3 linked regions of the Danio rerio genome follow. The protein of the gene in region 1 interacts with the protein of each later gene in a biochemical or structural test. Links are inferred from orthologs where the notes say so. Each region holds a gene or a part of one and is shown on either strand. Other genes may lie near its edges.

Region 1 (3,655 bases):
AACAAATTACAATGAAAGCATAATTCCATTTATAACACAAAGGAGCTCAATCGAAAAGTAATCGAAATCGACATTTAGAACCTGTAATTGATCAAATTTTTCCAAGTAAATTTTTTCAATTACTTTCCCTACCATGTGTTGAGTTACGTGACCCCGCTTGTTCAAGGCCAATTTATCCTATTATATTCCATTTTATACTTCTGCCAAGGGCACATACAGTCCAGCAAAGCGTTCACATACCTGCACACTTCTCAAAAAAATGTAATTGCGCGTCACAACGACACGTTGCACAAGCTTTGTGATTGGTCAGTTTGGTAGAGGTGACGTGGGTGCGCGGCGTGGAGAGCCGCGTTTTAGGCACTGTTTGTCTTTATCTCAGTTGTTCAATATTGATGTTCAATAAATAATCATAGACAGTAGATAGTGTGTGTTTCCTTTAATTTTAATCAAGTAATGCACAATCAAAAATCTCTCACTTGTAATATGTGAGCACATTTACTGTACAAAACTTGTCAGTGAACTATGAGGGCAAAAACATAAAACAAATAAATTAAACAATCTTTCATTAATCGTAATCGAGTTAAAATGTTTAATTAATCGAGATTTAGGTTTTAGGACAAATCGTTCAGGCCTAGTTCATGCAGAAAACGGTAGTAAATCTGCACCTGCCTTTGCATTGATTTGCTCACTGATGTATTCTGCATTGTTCTCTATCTGTTGAGTGACAGTATGTTTTATATATATATATATATATATATATATATATATATATATATATATATATATATATATATATATATATATATATATATATATATATAACAGATTCATTTACAACATTAAATTTGAGTTTACTTTTGTGTAGCTTAACAATACAACAAACAAATGAAAAATTTTGTTTAATTGGATTAAATTGAATTAATTTATTTTTATTAGTTATTTAAAATCCTTAGGGTTTGCAGAAATTATGTATTTTTACATGAGGAACCTTACTGTGACATTCTGTTACCACTGAAAATATTCTTCTTTCGTTTAAATTCAAAATGCATCTTAGAAATAAATTGTACTCAAAAATAATATAAAAAGTTGGCAGCTTTTTACAATTGTACAAATATATATATGTCACTTTTTAAATGGCAGTGTTTGTTTATTTACTATATACATTAGTGAATGCACTGACATCATTAACACTCAGCCAGTATATTGTTGCACCATAGTGTTATACAAGTTAAGATGAATGTTTTTTTGTTTCAGCAAAGAATGGCCCAGGAGGTGCTGACTCATTTGAAGGAGCACCCAGATGCGTGGACACGAGTCGACACCATTCTAGAGTTCTCTCAAAACATGAACACCAAAGTAAGCAGAGACCCAACTTGCTCCAGTTGGTGGGTCATGGTTTCTATACTTTGAGGAAGATCTGATCTCTTATCACACATCATACAAAATCACAATTTGGTTTTTGGCTCTTTCTTTCGAACCAGGAAGGTTGCCTTATGTAAGCAAGACCCTTTTTTAAGCGTACTGGGGTTGCTTAGCATCAAGTCAGAAACAGATTCCTTTGTGCACATGTGAGATCACATTTTCCTTCACTCTCCTCGCATTCGTTTCCTGGTCAAGAAAAGTCAGAGTTAAAGTTGATGTGTGAGGATCCTCTGTTGACGGTGAAATGCCTCAGTACCTCCATCTGTACAGCAGCCAGAGGTGCTTTGATGACTGACTGTTTGAGGTCAGGATGTATTAAAACAGTGATCCATGAATTCTTATTTTATCATTTTTATATAAAGGAAAGCAGAGGATCCATGTACAATTTCTGGTTTTACAAGTAAACATTTCTGCACTGATAAAACCTTAAGTCTTTTTTGTATTTGGGATGAATGGTTTTCCTCACTGTGTTAATAGACTTCCTCAAAGTACTGCTGACCCAGTTTGCCGTCTGCTTGCCTTTTTAAGATTGCTCTTAACACTCTGGTCATTACTAATGTTTGAGTTGATTTATCAACAGTATCGATAATATCAAAATGATAATGGCCCAAAAGTGAGGCCTCTAGAGGAACAGACAGGAAAAAATACAGAGCAGGTAAATTCTTTGAATTTGTCTAAATTGATCAAGAAAAATACAGAACGAGCGCTTTAAAGTGCTGTTGAACATTTGGCTTTTTGCTTAATTTATTTTACAGTCGGTGAAAAAGCAAACAAATTCAATTAATTGAAGTTGTTCATATTTGATATTAATCACAATGTTCCATTATGTTGATTGCTTGTAATAGGACGAAAAGGGGTGTGTCTTCCTGTGCACCTTGACACAGCTAGGCTTTGGCGGCAGGCCTCCACAAGGTCTACCTTTTCATTCCCTTACTCTCAATTCTGCTGTGCCTCCATTCACACTGCACATGCCTCATATGGAGCTGAGAGACGACAGGGAGATAGGCAGGCAGTTTACCCCATTTTTATTTCTACCCCAATCATGGGTGGTTACAGCTATTTTCACTGTAGGGATTATCAGTGTCTGTGCTGTGCAATCCGTTTTCTCCCTAAGCATTTCTGCATTTCTATCCTGGCCCTGTAATTTTTCTCCCAATCATGCACCAAGAAATGTTGCAACATCACATGTGAGCAGTCAAAATATAATACTTTGCATGCTGTTGCAATGTTAATATTTATTTGAATTCTTGGGACAATTAAAGGTGAACGCCTACTGGTGATTTTCATTGGGTGAAATACTGGGTTTCTGTGGGGTCTTAAAATCTTACATCTCAATTTACTGAAATATTATGTTGTAGGTCTTAAATGTTTTTTAAACAGGTCTTAATTTTTCTTTGTTCATATATTGCTACCCAATCTAGCCAAAACCCATACAATCACTAAGAATCCATCTCAGTAAAACTTTAAACTCTTTATAGAGGTCATTTTTAACTCTATTTATCATAATGGTTTAATAATTTTTTTTACAATAACATTTGTTTAAAATTCTTCATGTATTTTCTGCTGATGACACCGACCTGGACTGTTGGAATGTTGCGCATAGATTAAGTTTATAATTTGTTTTTAAAACTTTAAAGCTTTTGTTCATTTATTTTTTTTAAAAGAAAGTTTATGTTGGAAAAAAAGTGTATGGAAAGTAGAGCTTGCTTGTTTTTACACAATATTTAAATTATTTAGCTAAGAAATAAAATCTAATTTATTTCATTGTTTATTATTAATGTTATTTATTATTGTATTATTAAATGTATTAAATTATAATATGTTTTTTTTAATAGGTCAAATAAAAATATTTTTAATCTGGGCCATTTGAAAAAAGCCTAAGTCTTTAGCCCATTTTTGAGTTTCATTGATAATGGTCTTAAAAATGTCGTAAGTCTTAAATTTAACTTGGTGAAACCTGCAGAAACCCTGAAATCTTTGCATATGCAAGTAACCTATTTCTCCAGGCCTTCAACCTTTAATATCCTTCTGTCATCAGTATTTTCTGTTTTCCTTTAACACATTAACATTTTTGTCTCACGTTTTTTGCCTCTTCTTATTAATCCCTACAGTCGAAATGCTGATGATCCTAATAACACTAGTGACCATAACAAGGACACTAATGCACCATGAATACTTTCTTAAAAGCAGCATGTAAAACATTTTAAGGTAGTTTTATAGATCCAAACCTGTG
Region 2 (4,431 bases), on another chromosome or scaffold:
GTTTTTATAAAGAATGCTAATTAATAATGCACAAAACTGGAATATTGCATAAAAGATGTGTGAATAAAACAGTTTCCATCCAACAAGTCAAAGCAAACAAAATCGTCACTTACTAATTATATGGTGGCAACAGTAGAAACTGAATTGGCTGTGGTAGAAGAAGCTGCGTGAATCTTTTCTTCATTTAATAAATGACTTGCGCCTCAGAAGGCAATCCTGACACGCAGTGAACGAGTAGTGACATTAGAAGGCATAAGATGCGGAGCACAGATGCTCTTGATTCTGGAGGTTATTAATAATATAATAACAATAATATTGAAATAGTTAAGCCGTTTTAGAATCACCTAAACAACATGTCAGATGTTCACAGGGTGCTCAGCCAGCTGGTTTATTCATTCACATATTTTTATCATCACATGATCTCTTATAACAAAATCATATGACTTTAATGCATATACTGAAATATATTCGTTAAAAGCGTTTCCATCAGTTTATGCGCATCTTTTTATATCGAATAAAAAGTTTATCCTACAGTTATGCGCATAAGTTTTTATACACATTTTGGCGTTTCCATCAACCAGTTTTTTATGAGCATATCCATAATGCGCATAAAAATAAGTGGATGGAAACAGCTAGTGTGATATAAAGTGCTCTTAGAATGCAGTTACATGGGATTTTTTATTTATTTATTTTTTAATATATTAAAAAACTAGGGCTCCACGATACTATAAAAAAAATAGACATTGAAATATTTTTATTCACTGCGATATAAATGAATATAAATTTATATAATTTAAATAAATTTCAGCAGATGACAAATAGCTTGTAAAGAACTCAATTTTAGATCGACTGGGATGATTCTGTAAGGGAGCATATCTGCATAAAATATAATTTAAAAAAATTACAAGCAAAGTTAAATACAACAGAGAAAAGATGCAAACAAACGAGGATTTATAATTTTCTGGGGAGTCAAACAGTATTCAGAAGCCGAAATTAAATGATCACTGTATAACAACAACACTATCATTTTAATTGAGTAAATAACTACATAATGTCCAATCAGTCTTTAAGCTACAAACGTTTAATGTATTGTGCCAAAATGGCTTATATTTGCTTCAAATTCCTACAGTCAAGTCTTAAAAACAAATGCAAATAATACATTTTCATTCGAAGGTTAAAATTTTTAAACAACGCCACTATGTTGTTAACCGTATTGTCTGATCAACTACATTGCAGATCCCTGTGATGAGACTGTTGTGGACTCACATTGCGATATCAATGCTGAAATCATCTACTGTGCAGCCCTAATATAAACCTCAGTTAATGACTTACATCTTGAAAAGCTCCTCCTCATCCTCTTCTAAGGTCTTAACGTCCTGCTCGGGTAGTGAGACGATGGGCTCAAAATGAGGGTCATGGTTGGATTCCTCAACGTTCTCAGTGGATGGTTCATGCTCATCTTGTGCCTCCTGGAGGGGAAAATTAAAAGAGCAGCTTTTATTAAATCAAACTTAAACATGACATAAGCTAAAACAGGTATTTTTGGAGAACGCCACACATTTACTACAGTATTTGTTCTGCTGAGGCTCACAAGTCCTGATCCCTTCTGTGGGGATCCTGCTTCCACATTACTCATCAGATCAGTGGAGTGAAAGGCTGCGGGATTTGGAGGGATCATTCTCTGGAGTTTGGCCTATTGTCTCCAAATTTGCTGCTGCAACCAAACTTGCATCCACTGGTGCTTGAACTCGCATGCTGTGATGCTGGCGGAATCAATGCACTTGCTCTTCACTAATCACTGGTCTCACATTCATGAAGGCCTTGTAAGCTTTAATTATTGAAAAGCTTTCTGATCAACTCTGGCAGATCTTCTGCACATGATGTGATGCTCTGAACCGCTCCCAAGTTGATCACTTCGCATTTTCAGAGCTGAGCAGCTTACTTAGCTAAACGACTGACTTGACTGAAGACCGGATATCAGATGTGTATGAATTAATGTGGGAGTTAAACGAGTTTTCAAAAGTGGTCAGTCAGTTAAGTTAGCATCCAAGCTAGAAGCTGCTAATAAGCGGCCTAAAGGCGTTTAAGTGCTCGACTCGTAGTTTCGCAGCCCATATTTTGCACTGCTTGAGCAAATACAGTTAAATCACGTAATTAACCCCGGAAGAGTGTTGATAAACCGGGTTTGAACTTCACGTGCCGCAGGTTAGCAGTGCTAACACACAAGCTAACAGTGCGTTAGCATTTCAAGCTTTCGAATTAAAGTATGAGCCGTTTTTACTTGGAGCATGCGAGGAATATGTTTATTACGTTCCTAAAAATCAATATTTGCTTGTCCTTTGTGTTTAAGCAAGTAGCGAGTGCTAATCGACACAGAATAATGAATTTTAATAACGTTACTGGTGCTACTGAATGTAAAGCGTGATTGTAAATAAACAAACGACTTTGACAGCGTATGAAAAAGCAATAGTGAGTATTTAAAATGACACCAAGAAGTTCTAACGTCTGAATATCCAAGCGCACAATGCAAAACCGGGAAAACACCTGCTTTTTACAGTCTGTTAAGTAAGACCCTCATAAAACATTTATCGCCAACAAAACAACCAAAATAAGCATCTCTCGCTGTTCGAAAGACACAGAGGCTGAAGATGATGGCCCTCTTACCTTTGTGTCCGCCATGGTTTTTGCAGATGTTTTTCGATTAGAGAGAGTATCTGTTGGTTTTGATCAGTGCGAGCTCGTGAGATTTCACTTCGCTACTTTCGCGCGCGCATAACCGGAGAAGAGAGACGGTGACGTCAGCGCAGCCGCGCTACGTCATGGCGCACTTCAGCTACGCACAAAGTTCTGTTAAATCCTAAAAGAAATTATTTGTTATCACTCAGAATCTTCACATAAATCTAAAGAATTTATCTTTAACTTTTTTATCTTGTTTAGATTTTTTTAAACATAAGCAAAAGTGCATGGCTTCAGTCCCTACTTTTGGACATTTTCTGATTGAAGGTAACTCACTGCTCAAATCTTTCCGTATGTGTCAAAACAAAAAATGTGTCAAATTACTGGTTCTATATGAAGAACTGTTGTCTATTGACTCTGCGTTGAGTTAGATAGCTTTCCTAATGCTCTTAATTTATTTTCATACACTTTTTTTACAATTGTAATTTACTTTGTTTTGTTATTCTTTTTTCTTTCTTCAGCTTAGGTAGTTTGTATTTTTTTCTCTCCTTTGTATCTCTCTCATATCAGTCTCCTGATTGTGGTTGAATATTAGCATTCTTTAATAAATAAATAAAAAGTGCTGTTAAATACATGTTTAGAGAAATTCGGTTTTGGGCCCTTCTTTTGTAAGGGGATGAGTACGCTGTATGACGGGGGAAATAGCTCAGTGAAATGAGGACATTGAACTACACAGAGATTTCTATTAGAAAGAGGAATTCGGCAAGGCTGTCCAGCCTCTGTGTACCTGTTTCTCATAGTAGCCCAAGCCTTCTGTCACTAGAATCCAAATTGCTAGACGAAATGTTTTAATTAGTCAGTAAGCAGACGATACAGCCTTATTTGTAAAAGACTCAAACCAGGTTCATCAGGTTATCAAATCTATTCAGTTGTTCTCTAATGCCTGATGTTTGCACCTAATCTCCTCATAAATTGTGAAATATAAAAATTCTCCCCTATTATCTGTAGAAGGTATACCAGTTGAAGAAGCTGTTAACTATTTAGGTGTTGTCATTTCAAAAAATGAACAAGATAGAGTGTCTATTTTGTGTGTGTATTGTTGTTATTATTTACTTTCTATCACCCTGGCATTATTTTACTATACTGTCACATATTTGTTGTTTAACGCATATAATAGAAAAAAAGAAAAAAGAAAAAAAAGTTCTGTTAAATACTGTAACAACAATAAAATCAAATAAAATTACTTCAGAATCCTACATACAGTTTACCCATGTGAATAAGATCGATATGGATGATATGTGCTGCTTCTGTAAAGCGGATAGAGCATCTCACATTTAGACCTGTTTGAATGTAACTTAATTTTTGAATGTTGAATATAGGTGTGCCTAGCAAAATATGCCTTTAGACAATGTTTGATAATTATGATACAATAAAACATTGATATTTTTTCATATTACAAAAACAAATCTAATAAAGATCTGGATTTTTTTTGATAACCTCTATTGGCAAAATGTCATATACATAAACAAAAATGTGCTAAGTCATCTCCTATGTTAACGTTTTTTTTTATTTTCATTTCATTATTTCTTCTGTGAAACTGCTGAAAAGCAAAATATCTGAGATATGTATTAAACGGGCTACTGCAAAAAAAAGAAAAAAAAAGAAAAAAAAAGAAAGTATCTCCCCGATAATCTTTTAAATCACTGTACACTCTGTTAATTGTGTCTCTCTCTGTGTGAGTGTGTGTGTACCTGT
Region 3 (4,314 bases), on another chromosome or scaffold:
GCCAATTAGTCATTCAAATAAAATTGTTTTAAAAACTACTAGCTAAAAAAATAAGAATTTTGTTTGCAAATTATTTACTATTAAAATAGTGCTAAATGATTATGGTTCATAAAACAGGAACGGATGCATGTAATGTTATATCAACAACTAATATATCAACAACTAATAAAAATTTTCTAGATTTCGCTACACTAATGCAACAATGAAATTTACATTTGTTTGATGTGCTACAGATTAAATTCACATAATAATAATACAAATTATTATTATTATTATTATAGGAAATTCAAGTGCACATATCCGACACGTAGGATTATTTAATTATACATTTCTGTAGCTTTGAAATTGTTCTGAAACTAATCATTTTAAAATTATCTGATATATTTAGCATAGTTTTAGTGTGGGAACAAATTTAGAATATCACAAAAATAGGATGTGTATGATAACATACAGCCAGCTTAGCCCCTTTATTCATCACATGCATCACTGATTTAAAGTTTGAATTCGGATTACAGCACAGCTTCAGGCTTAGAGCATAACTTAGAACATACACTATACAAGTAAAAATAATAATAATAATAGATAAACCCAACACGATAAATCATATTAAGTTATACGTACCGCAAAAACAACGGAGGATAAAACAGCTGAATTTGACAGATTAAGCAGCTGAGGCCCAGACTCGTGCACAGACTAAACACTGTTCCGCAGGAAGAGTGAAAATGAAGTAGAAAGATCACACTCCAACAACACGCTGTCTCCGTTTGCATTTGGAAAAAGTTCAGCTGCACAAACTCTAAAACGAGTCTACAATTACTTTGTTTTGAAAGCGAGTGGGCAAAATGATGTCAGCAGTGAATTTAAACGAGAGAACACGCGCAATGTCGCGAACTAGTCACAATCGCTTTAGGTTTCGCTTTCCATTCTCCTCCAAACTCTTCAATTTCTGTCTGACACTCACTTACAAGACGCGTTTACACACGCTGGCAGCAGGGGGCGCCCTGTCTGGAGTGAATAATCAACATATTACAGCTTTACAAACAGTAATTACACCATGCAATTACTACTAATGCTAATATATTAATTAGGATTAAAACGCAGATAAGTTGAAAGAAGTCACCCCACGGTGAAATAAATGCAAAAATGTAGTATAATAAACATACAAAATCACACAGGACTACTGTATCCATATTGCTGAATATCAGTTAACAGCAAGATATATTAATATTGCATCGCACTACTCATTTTATCATAGCCGCTGAACTATTGGTTTCGTTTCACATTTCACCAGCCAGCAGACTGAAAGCAAACCTCCACCTGCGACCCTCCCAGATGCATAATACATGAGGTTACAGTACCGTGACCGACATGAAACTGCACTGCAGTTTATAACCTCCTACCGAAGACTGAAGAGGCAAAACAACATCTTCAAAAGCGCGCGACGGTGAAAAGGATCTGGGGACGCGCGCGCCTCTACTTCACCAAAAAAAAAAAGTCCGAAAGAATACGGGTCACGTACGGACACACGTCTCCCTCGGGCGCTTCATAACCCAGTTTATCCACACAGTCGCGCAAAGTTGCAACTTTTTAGCTCAGAGCTTTAAAAGACACATCATCGTATAGACATTATGGCTGTTTTCGTCGTATCATTATTCTTTAATGCTCGATTTAATCTATTATTGATAGAAGTGACATCTTCATTATTTCTCCCTCAATGCACATTATATGCGCCATACAAGGAGACGCTGTCACGTAATGCGAATTATTGAACCAATAATGTAATGTACATGGGTGAACTTTATGTCTTTTAGTGTATTTAAAGTATACTTTCGGTGTAAGGTATAAACAATTAGACTATATTTTTAGATAAGGGTTAAGGCTAGGATCAGTTGTAGATTTAGGGATTGTAACTAGTTATTAATCAGTTTACGTTAAGTATGTGCAAACAAAACAAGACTGATATATATATATATATATATATATATATATATATATATATATATATATATATATATATATATATATATAATTGTTAAGTATATGCTATTTATAACATTAAGTCTATGAATTAGACCAATACATATAATATCCAGTATTAAACTAATGGTAAAAATGATTATTAGACGACAGAATGGTAACGTTACTTGTTGGTTTACTGTTATAAATGCATGTATTTAGTCATTGACTAAAGATACTTTAGACTGCATTCATCATAAAAGCTGCTAAAATAGTGGTTAAGTTACATTAGATCACAACGTAGTATTTTTTATTATTGTTGAAGTAGAATTTAAGTAATTTAAGCTTTAAATAAAAACATTCATGCATTTAAAATAAAGTAAACCCCAAGACTATGATAATATCACAGCACTATTTTTGTTCTTTATAAACCAGCCACTAGCATAATCATCTTGAGCCATTTCAATTAACAAAAAAGAAGTGGTTAGCAAGGACACTGGAGGTTGACTAACGTTAGCCCCAATTTATTTCGACATACCACAATACAAATAAACAATTACAGTCAGCAACAAATCATTTTCTACTCTGTAGTGCACTTGTAAACATTCAGCATGATAAACAGACACAAGACTAGAGATGGGGGAGCGAGCGCAGAACGCGACGTCAATGGTAAACAGAACGGGAACGAGCAGCTTCCAAGCGTCTTTCTCTCACTTCGCACACATCCAGTTCTGCATAAATATTGTTAATAACTCGCAGCTGGGGGGCGTTAGTATGGCGTAAATATACTTACATACGCAGACGACGAGCACAATCCAGCCGCGTCCCTGCCAGAGGCCACATGCAGATAGAAAACACAACGCTGCTGAATGACAATGAAGTGTGGCGCGGAGCTGCGACGCTGTTTTGACGCTCTCTGATGACGTGTGCGACGTCGCAAGAAACCGCAATGTGATCATGGAAGCACGATAGGTCAGTGCTGAAAAGAAACAGACTTCTCTTTGTTTAGAGCGTTGTTTGATGTGAGGTATTTGGTATATGTATTTAGTTAATATCCATCGTTGTAAACTATACCTAGTAAAAAAAACGATGAATGTAAGTATGTTTATATATTTTTTCAAGCCATTTTAGGGGGAGCAGGGGAGTGCTAGGGGCTCTGTAGAAAATTATAGTAGTGTAGTGCCAAACTGTTGTAAATACATATGTGTAACATTCATTAAATATTATTAAGAACATTTTTTATTGATAGATAGATAAACAAATAAACAACGGTAACACTTTACAACAACAGTACATGAATAAAGATGCGTCTATATGTAAATTAAACATTACTTTATTGTGAATTAGTGATTAAGGCATTCACTAATCATAACTTTAAATACAACATGAGTCGCATGAGTTCATATGTGAATAATGGCTACTTTAGTTGTTTGTACATGTTGTTAATGAATTTATTATTTAACATTTAAGTTTAAGCTAAATTTAACCAATATGATCTCATGAGCTGTTAATGTATAATTGTGTCATGACTTTACTTGAATGGGTACATTATCATTAACTCATCCTTAATTACTCATGAACTCCTGTATTTAAACTGTTCGTGTTGATGTTGACAGAATGCTTTTCTATTGTTATTCAGGGTAAACACACTAGACAGATAAGCATAGGGAGTTTATGAGTAGTTAAGAATGGGTTAATGATGATGTGCCCCTTCAAGTAAAGTCATGATATAATTATACGTCAATATCATGAGTTCATGACGGCTAAATTAAGCTTACATGAAAGTGTAATTAATATGTTAATTAAACAATCGTAAACTAACAAGTAATTAAGGTAGCCGTTATTTACACATGAATTCTTGTGACTCATGTAGTTAAAGTTAGCTCATGATAAGTGCACGCATTAACTCATCATTAGTTCATAATAAAGTAATGTTTAGCTAACATATTAACACAGCATTATTCATGACTACTGTAAAGTGTTATCCAAATAATAATGCTAATAAAGCTGAAAAGGTGTGTTTTTATAAAGTAAACAAACCTATGTTTGGACAAACACATCTTGACTGAATAAAATTATAATTTTAAACACATTTTTACAATAAATAAATAATTTATTAGACCTAAATAGATTTTTTTAAGTGTAAAAGTGTAATATATAGCATTATTTTCAATAAATAAATAAAAAATTAAGATAATCTGTACAATGAAGAATGCACATTACATGTTAACAATTATGTCTTGAATGCATAGAAATTTACACTCAAACCTACAATTTTCAGTTGCTAACAAGCATTTGCTCAGCCAGTTGTCATAATTTCAAAACTCTAAACACAATTAGCACAGTATTGCTCTTTTG

Evidence for each region.
Region 2: the proteins of xpo1b (region 1) and ranbp1 form a complex in vitro, tested with the Homo sapiens proteins (3 studies listed by BioGRID, with this or other methods). The link is inferred for Danio rerio from reciprocal best matches to the Homo sapiens genes XPO1 and RANBP1.
Region 3: the proteins of xpo1b (region 1) and adar form a complex in vitro, tested with the Homo sapiens proteins (2 studies listed by BioGRID, with this or other methods). The link is inferred for Danio rerio from reciprocal best matches to the Homo sapiens genes XPO1 and ADAR.

Annotation. Positions count from the first base shown.
Region 1 is NC_133192.1:25,319,347-25,323,001, forward strand, and holds part of xpo1b (exportin-1), read left to right. Parts: intron 1-1,254; coding exon 1,255-1,356; intron 1,357-2,002; exon of another isoform or gene 2,003-2,077; intron 2,078-2,267; exon of another isoform or gene 2,268-2,334; intron 2,335-3,655. UniProt on the Homo sapiens protein: Mediates the nuclear export of cellular proteins (cargos) bearing a leucine-rich nuclear export signal (NES) and of RNAs.
Region 2 is NC_133180.1:19,738,291-19,742,721, forward strand, and holds the start of ranbp1 (ran-specific GTPase-activating protein), read right to left. Parts: upstream 2,836-4,431; 5' UTR 2,680-2,835; coding exon 2,665-2,679; intron 1,470-2,664; coding exon 1,333-1,469; intron 1-1,332. UniProt on the Homo sapiens protein: Plays a role in RAN-dependent nucleocytoplasmic transport. Alleviates the TNPO1-dependent inhibition of RAN GTPase activity and mediates the dissociation of RAN from proteins involved in transport into the nucleus.
Region 3 is NC_133191.1:24,822,219-24,826,532, reverse strand, and holds the start of adar (double-stranded RNA-specific adenosine deaminase), read right to left. Parts: upstream 2,836-4,314; 5' UTR 2,750-2,835; intron 1,447-2,749; exon of another isoform or gene 622-1,446; intron 1-621. UniProt on the Homo sapiens protein: Catalyzes the hydrolytic deamination of adenosine to inosine in double-stranded RNA (dsRNA) referred to as A-to-I RNA editing.